Schizosaccharomyces pombe: one gene and its partners. The protein of the gene in region 3 interacts with the protein of the main gene of each other region in a biochemical or structural test. Each region holds a gene or a part of one and is shown on either strand. Other genes may lie near its edges.

What was found. The genes of interacting proteins can lie anywhere in the genome.
Region 1: of the proteins of uba1 (region 3) and ubc13, one has a biochemical effect on the other in vitro, tested with the Schizosaccharomyces pombe proteins (2 studies listed by BioGRID).
Region 2: of the proteins of uba1 (region 3) and rhp6, one has a biochemical effect on the other in vitro, tested with the Schizosaccharomyces pombe proteins (2 studies listed by BioGRID).

What each region holds. Positions count from the first base shown.
Region 1 is NC_003424.3:5,286,680-5,290,670, reverse strand, and holds ubc13 (ubiquitin-conjugating enzyme Ubc13), read left to right. Parts: upstream 1-2,576; 5' UTR 2,577-2,589; coding exon 2,590-2,616; intron 2,617-2,658; coding exon 2,659-2,820; intron 2,821-2,972; coding exon 2,973-3,057; intron 3,058-3,114; coding exon 3,115-3,287; 3' UTR 3,288-3,491; downstream 3,492-3,991. Other genes in the region: SEA complex subunit Sea3, read right to left, coding at 1-2,279; csm1 (microtubule-site clamp monopolin complex subunit Csm1/Pcs1), read right to left, coding at 3,616-3,794, 3,850-3,991. UniProt on the Schizosaccharomyces pombe protein: Has a role in the DNA error-free postreplication repair (PRR) pathway. The ubc13/spm2 heterodimer catalyzes the synthesis of non-canonical poly-ubiquitin chains that are linked through 'Lys-63'.
Region 2 is NC_003424.3:303,056-307,262, reverse strand, and holds rhp6 (ubiquitin-conjugating enzyme E2 2), read right to left. Parts: upstream 1,658-4,207; 5' UTR 1,541-1,657; coding exon 1,499-1,540; exon of another isoform or gene 1,452-1,498; coding exon 1,387-1,451; exon of another isoform or gene 1,207-1,386; intron 1,174-1,206; coding exon 1,053-1,173; intron 948-1,052; coding exon 844-947; intron 796-843; coding exon 672-795; 3' UTR 501-671; downstream 1-500. Other genes in the region: U3 snoRNP-associated protein Lcp5, read left to right, coding at 1-299; protein pat10, read right to left, coding at 2,234-2,263, 2,308-2,344, 2,403-2,492, 2,532-2,589, 2,728-2,800; SPOM_SPAC18B11.09C (serine O-acetyltransferase activity), read right to left, coding at 3,244-3,411, 3,470-3,547, 3,623-3,929, 4,032-4,102.
Region 3 is NC_003423.3:3,885,638-3,892,536, reverse strand, and holds uba1 (ubiquitin-activating enzyme E1), read right to left. Parts: upstream 3,861-6,899; 5' UTR 3,842-3,860; coding exon 3,836-3,841; intron 3,778-3,835; coding exon 3,713-3,777; intron 3,605-3,712; coding exon 637-3,604; 3' UTR 501-636; downstream 1-500. Other genes in the region: Pet117 cytochrome c oxidase assemby protein, read right to left, coding at 1-133, 187-282; exosome complex component mtr3, read left to right, coding at 4,259-4,373, 4,412-5,070; ubiquitin conjugating enzyme Ubc8, read left to right, coding at 5,971-6,525; gamma tubulin complex GCP4 subunit Gfh1, read right to left, coding at 6,871-6,899.

The DNA of each region.
Region 1 (3,991 bases), on a different chromosome or scaffold from region 3:
GAAGAAATACATTGGTCTGAAATTGATGTTAATGTATTAAAAACATAATTAAATTGCTCATCATTAAAGGCGCTTGATCTTTCTAGTTGAAACACTGGAGTTGCAGATATAGGATAATTATTTGGAAAATACACATGCAACCTAATATAAGCATAACCGTCATCAGGAAGAATGGGAGCATTTAAAGATATTGTGCAAGTCCTTTCCGCTACATCAATTTTCTCAAAGCTAACGTTGGAATACTTCTGCCCAATCCAAGAAAGTTCTTCTCCAAGGTTTTGAGGAACTTCCCAATCAGCATTACCTAACCGACCCATAGAAATTCCCCGTAGCCAATTTAATGGAGTCATGGGATTAGTTGATTTAGTGGATCGAGTCATAAATCCTGAAGAGCCAGGAAGATTGTATTTAGATTTCTTACGGTTAGCAAAAGCGACAAATCCCCTGGATAAGTCAGATGTATTAGCACGTTCTGCACCAAAATTAGAATCGAACGAGTTCATAGCATCAGAGGAATCACACTCAGTGTTAATTAATGATTGCTTAAGCGGCTCACGAGAATAAGTACGATATTTCGCGCCTAACCGTGTTAATTTAAAAGGAACAGGTTTTGTTCGATCGTGTCCCATTGAATTGAGTATATCGTTACCAATAGGCCATAAACGAACATGGTGATCCTTGGACCAAGTGATCAATTGAAAATCTCTTAAATCTCTATCAAATACATCTTCGCCTCGACACCTCCAAAGAAATTCTTTAACTTGATCGGTATGACCGGCAAATCTATGTACAGCACGGGGGCCTTCTTTGTCTAAATTACGACAATCGTACATGTGTACGGAATTGTCTCCTCTCTGAGGCATCAAAATAACTCCGTCCCCGAATGGAGTAAACCTTGCTTTCCATACTGGAGAATCAGTGGTAATTAAATGCTCAGGCTCCTCTGTTGACTTTTCATAGTTCCAAAACTTAACTGTTCGATCCATAGCACAAGTTAATAGGCGAGTTTCACATGCTCTATTGAATTCAAGACCATTAATTTTAGTAATATTTTCGGAAGTTTTAATTGTATGAAGTGGGGCGGATCCATAACGATCGTCCCAAATCCTTACTAAACGTCCATGGCTAGAAGCAAGTATGTGGGGATTTTTATAATTCCATTTTACCTGAGTAGCTCCGTTATGCCAATCGTAAAAGGAGTTAACAGGAAATCGAGGACTACGCAAATCCCAACAGTGAACAGAGGAATCAATTGAACAAGTGGCAAGAACATCAGGATTTTGCCGATGCCAGTTCATATCTGTGACGGCGCGGGTGTGTCCATGTAACATAAATTCTATAGCACGATCATTTGGTAGTGCAAGGTTCCATACTATCGTTTTTTGACTTGATGTAGAAACCACCCATTGGTCTCTTGCGGCATGAACATTCCACTGAGTATCAGCAACTTCCCAAGGAGTAGAATGTCTTAGCATTCTTGGTGGATTATAAGGATTATCAAGATCTAAGACTAGTAAACCATAACGTGAAGCTAAAGCTATATCTCTACCACAAGGAGATAAAGACATAGCACCCACTGGTTGATTAACTTCAATTGATAATTGTCTATCAAACGTAGTACTATCAAAAGGGCCGTATTCCACATTGCTGTTAGAATTCGATGGTAACTGCAAGTCTTCATCTTCGGAAGGGATGATGACCGTGGAATCCATATTTCTTCGCAACCGACCAGAAACACCCTGAGAGTTAAAAGATATTCGACGAGATCCATAACTACCATCGTCAAAAGAAGAAGATGATATGGAAGTTAAACCTTGCAACCTTTGTGTCGGTGTTTGAGAATATGCAACAATGGTACTAGACCTTACACTTTCTGAAAAATTTGCAAAGGAGTTAGAAGCTTTTTTAATTAATATCTTAGAATCGTTTAGCTTATTGTCCAACGTTTCTGAGTGATCTTTAGAGATTGTTGACGATGAAGCTAGTTGATCACCGTCTTGTGCAGTGTTTGATTGAGCGCTTAGAGCAGTGGACGATTCATGGATCATTGATTCAAGACTGTCTTTCTCCAATTCAAAGTTGCATAATTCCCCGCTATCATCCATATTATAGTATGAAGATGGGTTTTCAGAATTAAATTGCTTATTGGGGTAATTCAAGGTACGTTCATCTTGAAGAGATTTCAATGAATGTTCATAATCAATAGGCGAAGAATTTTTTACAACCGAATCACTCGGAGGAGACTTTCTTGAAGAATCGTCTCCCTGTAATTCCCTCATCTTTTTCGATATGGGCCAGGTGACTGTAGCAATTTCAGGATTCTGAATCTTTTTTTTTATAAAAAAACAAATTAAATTTTATACAATATTATGAATATTAATAATAATAAACTAAGAAGCCATGGCTACTTGTCAATTGCTAATACTATTCTTAGCTAGAGCCGTGGAGATTTTATTATCACTCACTATTTGTATTATGTTTTACGTCACTCCTTATATAGAATAGTGTATCAATCTCTCCAGTTTCTCCTTAAACCAAGTACTTATTGTGTGTACAGCATGCATTCTAGGAAGTCCAAGTATATGAACAATGGCTTTGCCTAAGCGTATTATTAAGGTTTGCGCTTTCTGTTAGCATTTTTCAACTAATAATTGGTAGGAAATTGAAACCCTTACGAGAGATCCTCCACCCGGAATTGTAGCGGCTCCCACTGAAGATAATCTTCGCTATTTTAAAATTACTATGGAAGGGCCTCAGCAATCAGCTTATGAAGGTGGAAAATTTCACTTAGAGCTGTTTCTTCCTGATGAGTATCCAATGGTAGGTTTTTTTTGAAAACACAGTATTGAGCCTACCATGGTCCTTTTGCTAGCCCTGCTAGTTCAACAAAAATTTGAAGAATGGCATTGTCAGTTTCAAACTGTCTTCAAAAAATTGTATAATTGTGTAATTTGAGTTTTAACAACTATTAGATGCCTCCCAATGTTCGTTTTCTTACTAAAATTTATCATCCAAACGTTGATAAATTAGGTCGCATATGTTTATCTACGTTAAAAAGTATGTTAAACTTCACACGTTTCATCTTATTTTGGTGTACTAACATTAATAAATCAGAGGATTGGAGTCCTGCTTTACAAATTCGAACCGTGCTACTTTCGATACAGGCATTAATGGGTGCTCCCAACCCAGATGACCCTTTAGACAATGATGTTGCAAAGATTTGGAAAGAAAATGAGCCACAGGCAATTGCAAATGCCCGTGAATGGACGAAAAAGTATGCAGTTTGATTACTTATGATAGTCCAATGCTTATGGTTATCACTAGAATAATAATATATTACGATATCAATAGCTTTCTATATACAGTCTTTGATTTGAATTCTACCCATTTCCTTAAGTTTTTTGCATTCAATTTTTTCCTAAGCGGTTAAGGTCTTTTCGAATAAAAGATGTAAAAATTAATAATAGATAATTATGGTAGCAGAATACAAACATCGCAGCTTTTGACGGACGATGAAAAAAGTGATATCTCGACGAGCACAATTAATTTAAGATATAGTGCTATTCATATAACAAGGAAGTATTAAAGTTTAAGCAAAATCCATAGTTATTATTGTTAATCTTGCAAAGCTTTCATTAATCTAGCAGAAAATAATTTTCCTTGTTCTTTCGTAAAGATAATTTCCTCCAACAAATAGTCTGGTAAATGTTTCATAAGCTCCTCATCAGTTTGAACATTCAGACGTGGAGTAAATGTAAAGTTTTGATCATCTAACAAGAGCTGATATTCGAGTGCTATAATAATATCCTGTTAGCTTGAAATTATTTCTAAATCCCTTAAAGCACTTACTCCCTCTCCTTCCAGTGTTTTTACAGTTGAAACGATATCCATCCTCGTCCTCTATACAGTCTGCAACTTCTAATCCGAAAAGCTCCTTTATAAGTATATTAATTTTTGAATAGTTTTTTATTTGCTCTCGAGTTTTCAATAA
Region 2 (4,207 bases), on a different chromosome or scaffold from region 3:
TGCAAAAAATGCGTGAGAGGATAGAGTATGAGGAAAGTAATTATACTCGCCTTCCTAAATTATCGAAGAAAGATTTAAAGAAATCTAAACGTGTAAAGAAACACGATTATGGTGGTGAAGACTGGTCATTGCTTGATCGCAAATTCCATGACGATGACTTTTCAAATCGTAAATTAGACCTGACTTCTAGAGCTAAGAGACGTGCTAATTTTGAAGACGTTAACGATGGCTCATTAGCTTCACCTGTTCAAATTGGCCAGTCATATCGTAAAAGAAAGAAGAATTTGAAACGTCGTTAATCATTATTTTGGGAACAGCCGTTGAGGTTTACTTAAAAAAATTGACCATATGTATTTAAAAAAATGGAGTTTTTGCGCTTGGTTTGGTATTTTTGTGTGGTTTAGGGCAGGTTATGTTTAATAAGATCAATATAAATTTTGCATGTACATGTCTGTATATGTGATTAGTCGCACATTAATATAGTTTACAAGTTCTAAACATAAGGAAGAAATCATTCATTCGTAGATGTAAACAAAAAAATCTTAATGATTTACTATAGTTACAATTTTGGCAACTTTGAAGCACTTAAATAGATTTAATGTGAAAGGCGGTTGAAAAAGAAGAGTAAGTTCTAATGAAATAGGGATTATTAAGACAGCTATGTCTTGAAATCAACTTTCCCAGGAGTCTTCTACAGTTTTTCGTACTCGACGCACATACTCCTTCTTGTTTTCACGATGCAGCTGAGCAGCTTCGGCATTTGCAGGGGACGCATTATTTGGATCATTAAGTAAGCTAAAAGTTAGTTATGAGAAATTTAAGTAATATTTCTGAAAAGCAAACCTTTGAATAGAGGTAAGAATTGCTGCCACATCGTAAGTTGGAGACCACCTGTTTTGCAGAATGTCCAAGCAAAGTTCGCCATTTGCGTACACATTTGGATGGAACTAAAGCCAATAAGTAAGTAAACAAAAAAAACCAAGAAAAAAGTAAATTACAACAAATCAAATAATCTAATTTAAGACTTGTCTAAATACAATGACTAAGCATACCATTGTGGAGACGAATTTTACAAGAGGAGGTTTATTAGGATATTGTTCATCAAAAGAAAGAACCAACTTAAAAGTTCCATCTTCAAATGGAGTGTCTGCTGGGCCAATGATAACAGCATTCCTGCTCAAATGGTTAGTCCAACATCAATAATAAAAAACAAAAGCAATCAATCCAGAAACCAACAAGCATAAAAAGATCGCTTCTTGTAAGAATTTTGAAACGATCTCCTTCCTAAATATATGGCAAAAAAGGCATTCAATATATAGCACATATATTCACCATTACGTTGCATAACAATAAGAGAAAAATGAATTGACATAGGTAAACACTTACCAAAGCATTACATTGTCAGAGACAGGGGAAGCTGAAACTCCAGCAGGAGGATCTTGCTGCATCCTCTAAGAATTGGTTAATATAAGTCTTCTCGGATCCACAACTGCCGTACCTTAAAATCTCGCATGAGACGTCTTCTTGCGGTCGTTGACATTTTTATAGCAACCTCTCTTCTATTTGTGATAACTTTAAAAAAAAGTTGCACAAATATCGATATCGCCTTGGAATTACACCGAGTTAGGATATCCGATTTGCGTTGTTGGAGAAGGGCAGGGAACAATAGTAGGACCATTCACTCATATGCAGTATTTCATTATTAATGGGGCGCACCCAACACGTTAAAATAATAAAGTGCACGCTCAGTTACCTTATAACTAGACCAACCTTTTAGTAATGTTCAGCATTTGCAATGCAAGTCTGCTTTAGTATTAATGAACTACTACTTCATTTAAATTATAGTTAAAGATAAGGAAAGTTGATATTTTTCATTCAACCATTAATCATAATCAAGGTCCGTGCATTTGTTAACGGTAAACTGTTGAACATGTGAAAATTATATATATTTACTTTAAGCCTTTGTTCTCATTGGGTTTAAAAAAGCAACTAAAATACATTAGGAAGAAAAAATGAAAGAGCAACAGGATGTAAGAAATAAATTTACATTTTCACTAGCTTAACAATGAGAAAACACAAACAGCCAATTTTTTACGCGTCTGCTACGTGATTGAAATGGTAGTTAGAAATGTATCTGAACTCTTCACCATTAGATATTTACATTGTGCATAAATTTAATTATCCAGAAAAAAATCAGCTTAATACTCTTATTAATTCACTGACTTAAAAATTACTAAGTTTTGTTTGGAGTATTTAAAAATTGCTGCACAAGTTAATCGACAAAGTAAATATAAAAATTCAACTTACCGGTAAATATGTTGACACAAGAGCCGCGATACCCATACTGATCAAATGTTAACATCCATAGAACTACATTAATGCAATGAATTAGGATTACTTACAAAGCCATTGAAGTCGGAGATGAGCTGGGAGACGTATTTGCGTTCAGTAAATTTGAAAAGGTTAGGATAAAAGCAACCCATGCAATTAATCTTCTCGTTAACATGAAAATCCTAAAATATCTTACATACTTGAAACGAAGAAATAAAGCAGCCATACACGTGGCTGTGCTTACCAAACTCAAGCCAACTATAATAGGGTTAGCAAACTTAATAAATTATTTGACGAAAGAAAGGATTTAAAATATTCCACAATGAACTAAAGCTTGAGCGATTAAATCAGCGTAACTCACGATTGGGTTCAATTTGAAAGTGCTTTCTACTTTACCTTCTTCATTTGCTTTGACTCTAGCTTTGTAGGGAACGATTAAATCAGGTCGTTTAAGTTCTGCAGGCGCCATATTTTATGAATTTTCGTTGTCGAGACTTCAGAACTGGTGAATGGGATGGTTCCTCTACAAGAATATAATGAAGTTAGTAATAAAATGTGTAAAATGGTTTTAGGTTAGGTTATTTAGCATTCAAATATATCGTGGGGGTTAAGAGTTCTTATCCCACTAAGAATTTCAACTATTTTAGACTTGGCTAAGCATTAGAATTAAAATCGATTGCAGTACCACGTGGGGGCTTTAGCAAGTCATAGGAGGAAACTGATCCTACTTGGCGAGTGAGAAATGGATTTCTTTTAGCATTCTAAGTCTTCTATATAACAATTTAAAGCTCAAACATAATATAATATTATTTATACTATTTTAAAAATTTAGGAACCAAGCCAGGTGAACTTAAGAAGTTCAAAGAGCATTTAATCGTTAGATGAAATAATAAAAAAAAAAATTACACTCGTTCACTCGTTTTCAATTTTACGAATAGGTTTGGCAGGTGATCCTACAGCCAACGTATTAGGTGGGATGTCTTTTGTAACAACAGCACCCGCTCCAATTACACTGCCTTCCCCGATAGTAACACCTGGGAGAACTATAACTCCCATACCAATCCAAACATTGTCCTGAATCTTGATAAAATTTTGTTTGTTAGTTGTAAGATGTTTCAATAACTGGACTAACGCATACGTTAATTGGTAAACCAAATTCAATTCCGGAGTTCCTTGCTTTAAAATCCAAGGGATGTGTTGCTGTACATAGTTGAACCTGGAAAGACACCATTAGTATATTTATTTTTTGAATGAATGACTTGAAAGTAACTATATATATATATAAACATACATTGGGGCCTAGCATTACATTATTACCAATAGTAATTATGGCAACATCTAGAAATGTACAATTATAATTTGCAAAGAATTTTTTTCCAAAATGAACGTTAAATCCGTAATCAAAAGCCATAGGTGGCTCAATCTCTGGTGCTGAAGATTCGTCAAATACAAAAACTTCAGCCAACAGTTCAGCTCGTCTTTTAATCAATTCTGCTGGGCCTACATTTTCCAAATCTCCCATAGTGTCATTAAACCTTCGCATTAATTTTTTAGCATTACATCTCGCTTGAGTCAACTCCTCGTCGTAAGCCTTGTACCTGTTATTTAGTAATTAGAATATCTCCCTGCGTTCAATGTGACTTCAAACATGTCAACGAAGATGATATATTAGCTCGACAAGTTTTAAGCATTAGCCTTACGGTTGACCAGATATCATTTTTTGGTATTCAATGGTTTTCGGTATCATTTTTTGTACACGAGTACGAGTCATTTCTGTCGGAAAACAAGTATATTCACTAGCATTGACAATGGGACTAGTAGAGTTATCGATGTATAAATAGACTTATATATATATATATATATGTATTGATATCAA
Region 3 (6,899 bases):
CCTTTTCGTCCTCTTCAACAGGTAGCTGGCTTTCGTAAAATTTTCGTAACTCTTGTTGTCGCTTTAGGTCTTCAAACCTTTCTTTTTTAATTCTTTTCCTTTCATCATCTTTTTGAACTCCCGCCGACATTTTCTATACTTACATTAGCTATGGTGCATATTTTCTTTAATATAAGTAAATATTACCTCTCGTTCAATAATCTGATTATTATGTACGAAATAAACCATGTAAACACTAAAGACACCGGCCCCGACGATACAAAGTTTTGAGGCAGTAGACATTGGCAATAATTCTAGTTAAATTTAATATAATGTATACGATAGACTTTTGTAGCCGAGTAAAGATATACTCTTAGGTAAATTAGGAGGTTAGCAGTCGAAACTTACGTAAATGCCAATCGCCGACGTTAAAAAAATTGCTCAAAAAAACAACAATTTTACTACATGTCAAAATACTTTTTAAAATATAACAGATCTTAGTTCATAAAAATTAGAAAGAGTATAGGAAAAATAATAAATTATTCATACATGCCTATTAATGTTTTTTAAAGACTGCTAATACTAATTTAGTAAATTTATTAGAGCCATTGGCATTAAATGTTGCAAATTCCAGGAATTAACCGGTTCTCAAAGGTATTACAACTTGATACAAATAAATGGAACTTCAACGTCTTCACCGTTGGCATCATCACAGCAAATTTCAAGCACCAAGTGTTTCCGGAAAGGTTCTAGTTTTTTCTTAGTAATTTGCTCAACCAATTCAGAAATTTTGAGAGGCAACCTTTCAGCAAGTTTCTTAGGTGGTTGGAAATTAGCATACAAAAGAGAAACTCCAGATGAAAGCATGGTCACTTCCAACCCCTCTTCTTTTTGGAAATAATCAATAAGCTCTTGAAGTGTGCAGTCCGGGAGATTGTAGCGATCCCAGATTTTGTCGATTTCTTTACCATTGACTTTCATTTTCGGAGAAGCAATAGGATCAGAAAATGTAAAGAGCCCTATAGCAAGGTTGAAAAATCCATTTTTATATTCCTCGATCTTCTTTTTGCCATCAACAAGTTTAACAAGCTCAAGACATACAAGTCCTGAAACGACAGCAGTTGATGTACACATGGCTGGTACAATTTTACCGGCAACAAACTTCGTCTTAAACCTATCCGCAGGTGTGATGTCGTAATTCATGGCACGCAAATTTGATGCAGCCGTTATAAAGTCAATGTGATGATTAGAGTCATCGTCCTTTTCAAATTCTGCCGGAGTTAGTCTAAAACCCACAAGAGAGGATGGAGGTGGTAGACTGTCAGCAATCGATTTCAGTTCTTGTTTATCTTTATTAGCAGCGGTTTCGGGAGCTTCTTCATTTTCATTGACTTGAATTTTAATACCAGACTTGGGAGCAAAGGGAGGAGGATTGTAGCCAGCAAGAACGCGTTCGTAAATAGCTGGGTCTGTCTCACTCTTAAGGCCGTAGTTGAATGCATAAAGACTGGCTGCTGCAACTATGAAGTCAAAATGCTCACGGTTGTGAATATCAAAAGATAATGGAGTAGGGGCACGCTTAGGACCAGACCAAAACGGTTGGCCAGTGGAGGTTACAGAATCCTTAGGGAAATTGAAAAGTAATTGCTGAATGTTGTTGTTAAAGAACTTATCAAACTGCAAACGGGCCCACATAATACATTCCTCAAATGAAAGAGGCTTCTCCGTAACAAGATAATCTCTAATATTTTCTAAAACTTCACGGGGGTTACTACTCGTTTTCAATGAAGTTTCCAAAAAGTTAGGAGAACTAAGGTACATATTAACGTTATCGATAGGCTGTTTAAACAAGCCTTCAAAGAGATCGCGAGCCCATGCAATGGTGTGCTCAATACGGTTAGGAAAGTTCTTCAAAGTACAGATAGGAAATGACTTTTCAGGAGGGTCTTGGGATGATCCGTACGACTCTGTAAGATGAGGTACAACAACTTGCGTATTACCCTTAGTACCCAAAGTACCAGACTCTAATAATGGCTTTTCGAAAAATACACAACGGCGGTCAACATACATTCGAGCTTCGACGTTATCCAAAGCATTCGTGACTAAAGATAACTTTTCAAAGAATTCATCGCCAAATATGCCTTCGCTTTCTGGTCCAACACGTTCTTGATATGAAGTTATTTTACCAGTCAATGAAGGATTCATGATTGAAACAGCGGTAGAAGCACATTCGGACTTCAGCTTTCCGACGTCACGAGGACGAAAGAGAAATTGACGATTCAAATTCGATTTTTCAATGGAGTCCATATCAGTAACAGAAATATGACCACTTTCACCAGTAGCGACACCCATCATAGCCCAGTTTTTCAGCATTTCACATCCAATAGCGCCAGCACCAACCAAAAACGTACTCAAAGAAGCTATTTTCTCTTGAAATTCCGAACCGAAAACAGCGATTTGCCCATCGTATCGACAGCCACGAGGTTTACAAGTTTCTTCACTGATCGTTACAGAAGATGGCAAGCTTTCTAAGGAGTCAAAATAGAAGTATTGCTTCAATGGGTAAAATTTACTGGTGGTAGCTTTCAACACTTCCTGTGCTACAGCACCGCCCAAAAACGCGGACATTGCAACCAAATCACCTCTTGCCTGGTATGAAATTTCCTTAATTAGTTTTTCATCGAGTTCAACATCAAATTGAAGTGTGCTTGCAATTTTCTTACAAAATTCGAAAAATTCAGCTGCATCAATGTCGTTACGGGGTCGAGGCAATGAACCTTCATGCGCATCGGCAAATGCTGAAAGGGCCTGGAAAGCAATGTGGTATTGTGGAGGTCTCATCATTTTACCAAAGTCAGGATATACATATTCAGGGTCCTTGAGCGATTCGCGGAGAGATTTGAAAGATATTTTGGTTGGAACTTTAACTTGGGTAAAGACACCATTGTAACCGGCACTTCCTAAATCTTTAACAGATCCGATAGAAAAGGTATATGGACCTTTCACTTCAACTTTACGAGGAGTGCCATCATTTAAACCAGGCATACCCTTCACTTCGGTAAATTTAACAAAATCACCATTCTCCAATCCATGACGAGTTTCTTCAAGCATGGTAACAACTCCATCATCAGTAATTGAAGCGATCATTCCAGTTAAAGGTTCATTTCCATCAGTGTCAGTACAAATAAAGTTCTCACCAAAATCACAAAATATCGATCCAAAAAGACCACGGCTGTCAGCAGCAATATAAGCAATATGGTTTTTGTGTGTAAAGTCGTTAATTTCTAGCTGTTTCGTAAGAGAAGTTTCTGTGACAACCACGCATTTGAAGTTTTTTAGATACTCTGTTGAAAGTTCATCAACTACAGAAACAGGCACATATTGATTAAGCTCTGCTAACTTTGATACCGTTACTTTTGCACGAGGAACACCAATATCGTCTTCTGTAAGAAAATATTGTGATGATAAGTCCTCAATGCGTGTAGGTTGAGGATCGTAAAGAGTAACGCTTTTTACACCTGCTAGACAAACGTTCTTTGCTATTTCAACGCCTAAACCTTTGCAGCCAATGATTAAGACATTCGACTGACTCATTTGTTTCATAGCCTCATGGCCTAAAACATAACTTTAGATAAATTAGCAAGCGCTCAGTACAAGAAAGAATATAAAAACATAAAGCTAAACCAAATCAACACCGGTAATAATGACTCTTCATGTTTCTAATAAAACTTACAGTTGTCTAGAGTAAAGCCCTTCATCGATAGTATTTTGATCCGTTTGATCAATGTTCATGTTATTCTTTTGCAATGTTAGTAAGAAGCGAAAAATACTTGAATCATTTAAACAAATTACATACACTCATTACGAAACGTGGTGTTGGCAGAGGAGAGTCATACGTAGGCTATAATATAGTGTTTTTATATGTTCAAATAGCGAGCTCTTTCGTTACACATGCTTAACAATTTATTACTCATTAAATTTAAGAGCGCGCACTTGAAGTATGCTGGCTGGATAAAAAAAAATTTTGCACCATTATTCTAAAAGCATTTTTATTTTCCAGCTTACTGATTGAAACGCTTAGTCATTACAAAAATCTTTTAGATGCGATAAAATTGCTTTCTATATGTCATATATACACCGAATCAAACAATATCGTTATATATATTAAGGCATGCAAACGCGTCATCCCAAAACGCGAAGCCACCACTGAAAATCCAGGCTGCTTCTGTATTGTTTTCTTAACGGTACATCAAGGTTAAAACAAATACTCTATAAATCGATGTCAGATAGAAAGAGAGTGTATGGACCGAGTGTATCCGTTCCCCCTTATTTTGAAGAGCCAGAACAACCTGTTTTCACGCGGACTCGTGATGTTGACAGATGTCGAAAAATATGTAAGATACCGATTATTAACATTTTCACTGACAATTAGATCTAAAATTAGGGTGGGCTACTAAAGCTGTCGGTAGCAGTTATTTTGAATCAGAAAAAATAAAAATTGCATGCACAGTCTCTGGTCCTCGACCTAGTAAGACTTTTGCTTTTCGTTCATCAGCAAAGTTGAATTGTGAATTTAGATTATCCCCATTTTCTACTTCTGTTCGTCAGGGACATGTACAAACCGTCGAAGAAAAAAGCTATTCCCAAATGATTGAAGCAGCAATTTCTCCAAGTATATTACTGCATTTGTATCCGAAAAGTTCTATAGACGTTTATATTCAAGTGATTGAAAGTGACGGTGCATTAGCAACATTGGCTGCTGCTATAAGTTGCGCATCAAGTGCAATAGCTGATGCTAACATCGACTGCATAGATTTGGTGACGGGCTCGAGTGTATTATTTAATCCCAATACGGATGAATATTGGATTGATCCTGATTATGTGGATGAGCGTGCAAGGGCTGCTAAAGGTTCTGTAGTTATGGGGTACATGGCTTCTCTTGGTCACGTTACTCAAGTATGGGAAAGAGGCACTTGCTCTCCGAGTCGCCTTTCGTTTTTGACGGAAAAATGCATAAAGAATGCCAAAGATACTCGGTTAGTAATTAATCATGCACTGCTACTAGAGAAGTCGAAATCCGAAGATCCTTAGATATTGGAATTCTACCTCTATAATAATATTCTGTTGATGGCTAATATTTATACCAATTTTACAAATTACATAATCAAATTTATTTCTTTTTAAAATTCTCTTCTATTAGTTGGCAATGCTCAAGTTTTGCCTTTTTTTCCTTAACACACATTTGAAGGGAGACGCTATCTTTTCTCGACAAACAAGCAGATGACTTCCCTAAGTAGATTTTCTTCTTTGAAATCAGCTTGGCCATCCGCAAGTTACGTTTGTTATGAAAAATACGAGTAAATATTAAATTAAAGATCTTAGTTTTTATCACTCGCGAATATATTCAGTAGCCAAACGATTAACTCTTTCCAATTTTTTCCAGTCTATTTATCGATTCCAATAGAACAAAACAAATGCTGAGATTTTATTAATACATATATTTGATACTAATTTATCAAGCTGCATTGAGACGAAAGCATCTTGGTAGTACTAGAATCATTGTTACTCACATACTGTTACCTGCTTCTTATAACCTCCAAATCAGCGAAATTCCGCGTCTTCATCATAGCCAAACTTATGCTCAATTGCCTCGTTTGTAAATTAAAATATATTTAACAATAAGAAGGACGATAAAGAGGGGATTCTTCTATACAATAAAATTGCTTTCATTTAAATTAGGTCATTGATGATTATTAGTTGTTGCTTTTAAAAATTTGATATATTCACGGACAATAGGATAGAACCATTTAAAACGGAAGCTAAGAATCTTTCCAAAAGTCCAAAATAATTTGATTTTATTGAAAATTACTCGAAAACTGCTGAATTTGCGAATTTGCCTTTATTGCAGCAAATTACCGTATTTGAATACTACACTAGCTTAAAATTATTGAGTTCTTTTTTAGTTTTGAAATAAAACTATAAAAAATCAAAATGTCGAGCCCAAGGCGCAGAATTGAGACGGACGTTATGAAGCTGCTGATGAGTGATTACGAGGTAACTCTTGTCAATGATAATATGCAAGAATTTTACGTTAGGTTCCATGGACCGTCTGAAACCCCTTACTCAGGTGGAATATGGAAAGTTCATGTTGAACTGCCAAGTGAGTATCCTTGGAAATCTCCAAGTATTGGATTTGTAAATCGTATATTTCATCCCAATATCGATGAGCTTAGTGGAAGTGTTTGCTTGGACGTGATAAATCAAACTTGGTCTCCAATGTTTGATATGATTAATATTTTTGAGGTTTTTCTTCCACAGCTACTCCGTTATCCTAATGCGTCGGACCCTCTAAATGGAGAGGCAGCAGCTCTATTATTGCGAGAGCCGAATACCTACTATGCCAAGGTTCGAGATTATATCGCTCGGTATGCTAATAAAGAAGACGCTGATATAACTTTGAACGACTCTTCAGATGATGACACCATGTCTTCTATTGACACTGAATCTGGCGATGAAATTGCTGGTCCAATGGACTCTGATTTTTAAATTTCGTTACGTTGCTTTGTTTGATATACATTGATTCTTTTTTGAATTCTCTTTATGGATACTGATTGTGGCATTCAATAAACCGATGGATAGCTAAATCTGTTACACTTTTTTTTCTATTGATGCATTGAATGATTCTTTTTGCATGCTGTCGCTTGCAAAACCCGTTTGAATTTGCTTTCAATCAGTAGTCGTGACAACGATATTTAATAGGTTTATTTTCTTGAAGCTTCAAGTTACTGCAGCATAATTTACGACTATAACTCCATGATGCATAGTTAATGAGAACTAATATTTAAATAAAATAGAAAAAAAATATTAAATAAATACATTGATCATATCTACCTATAAATTAAGCTGAACAATCAGCGCGT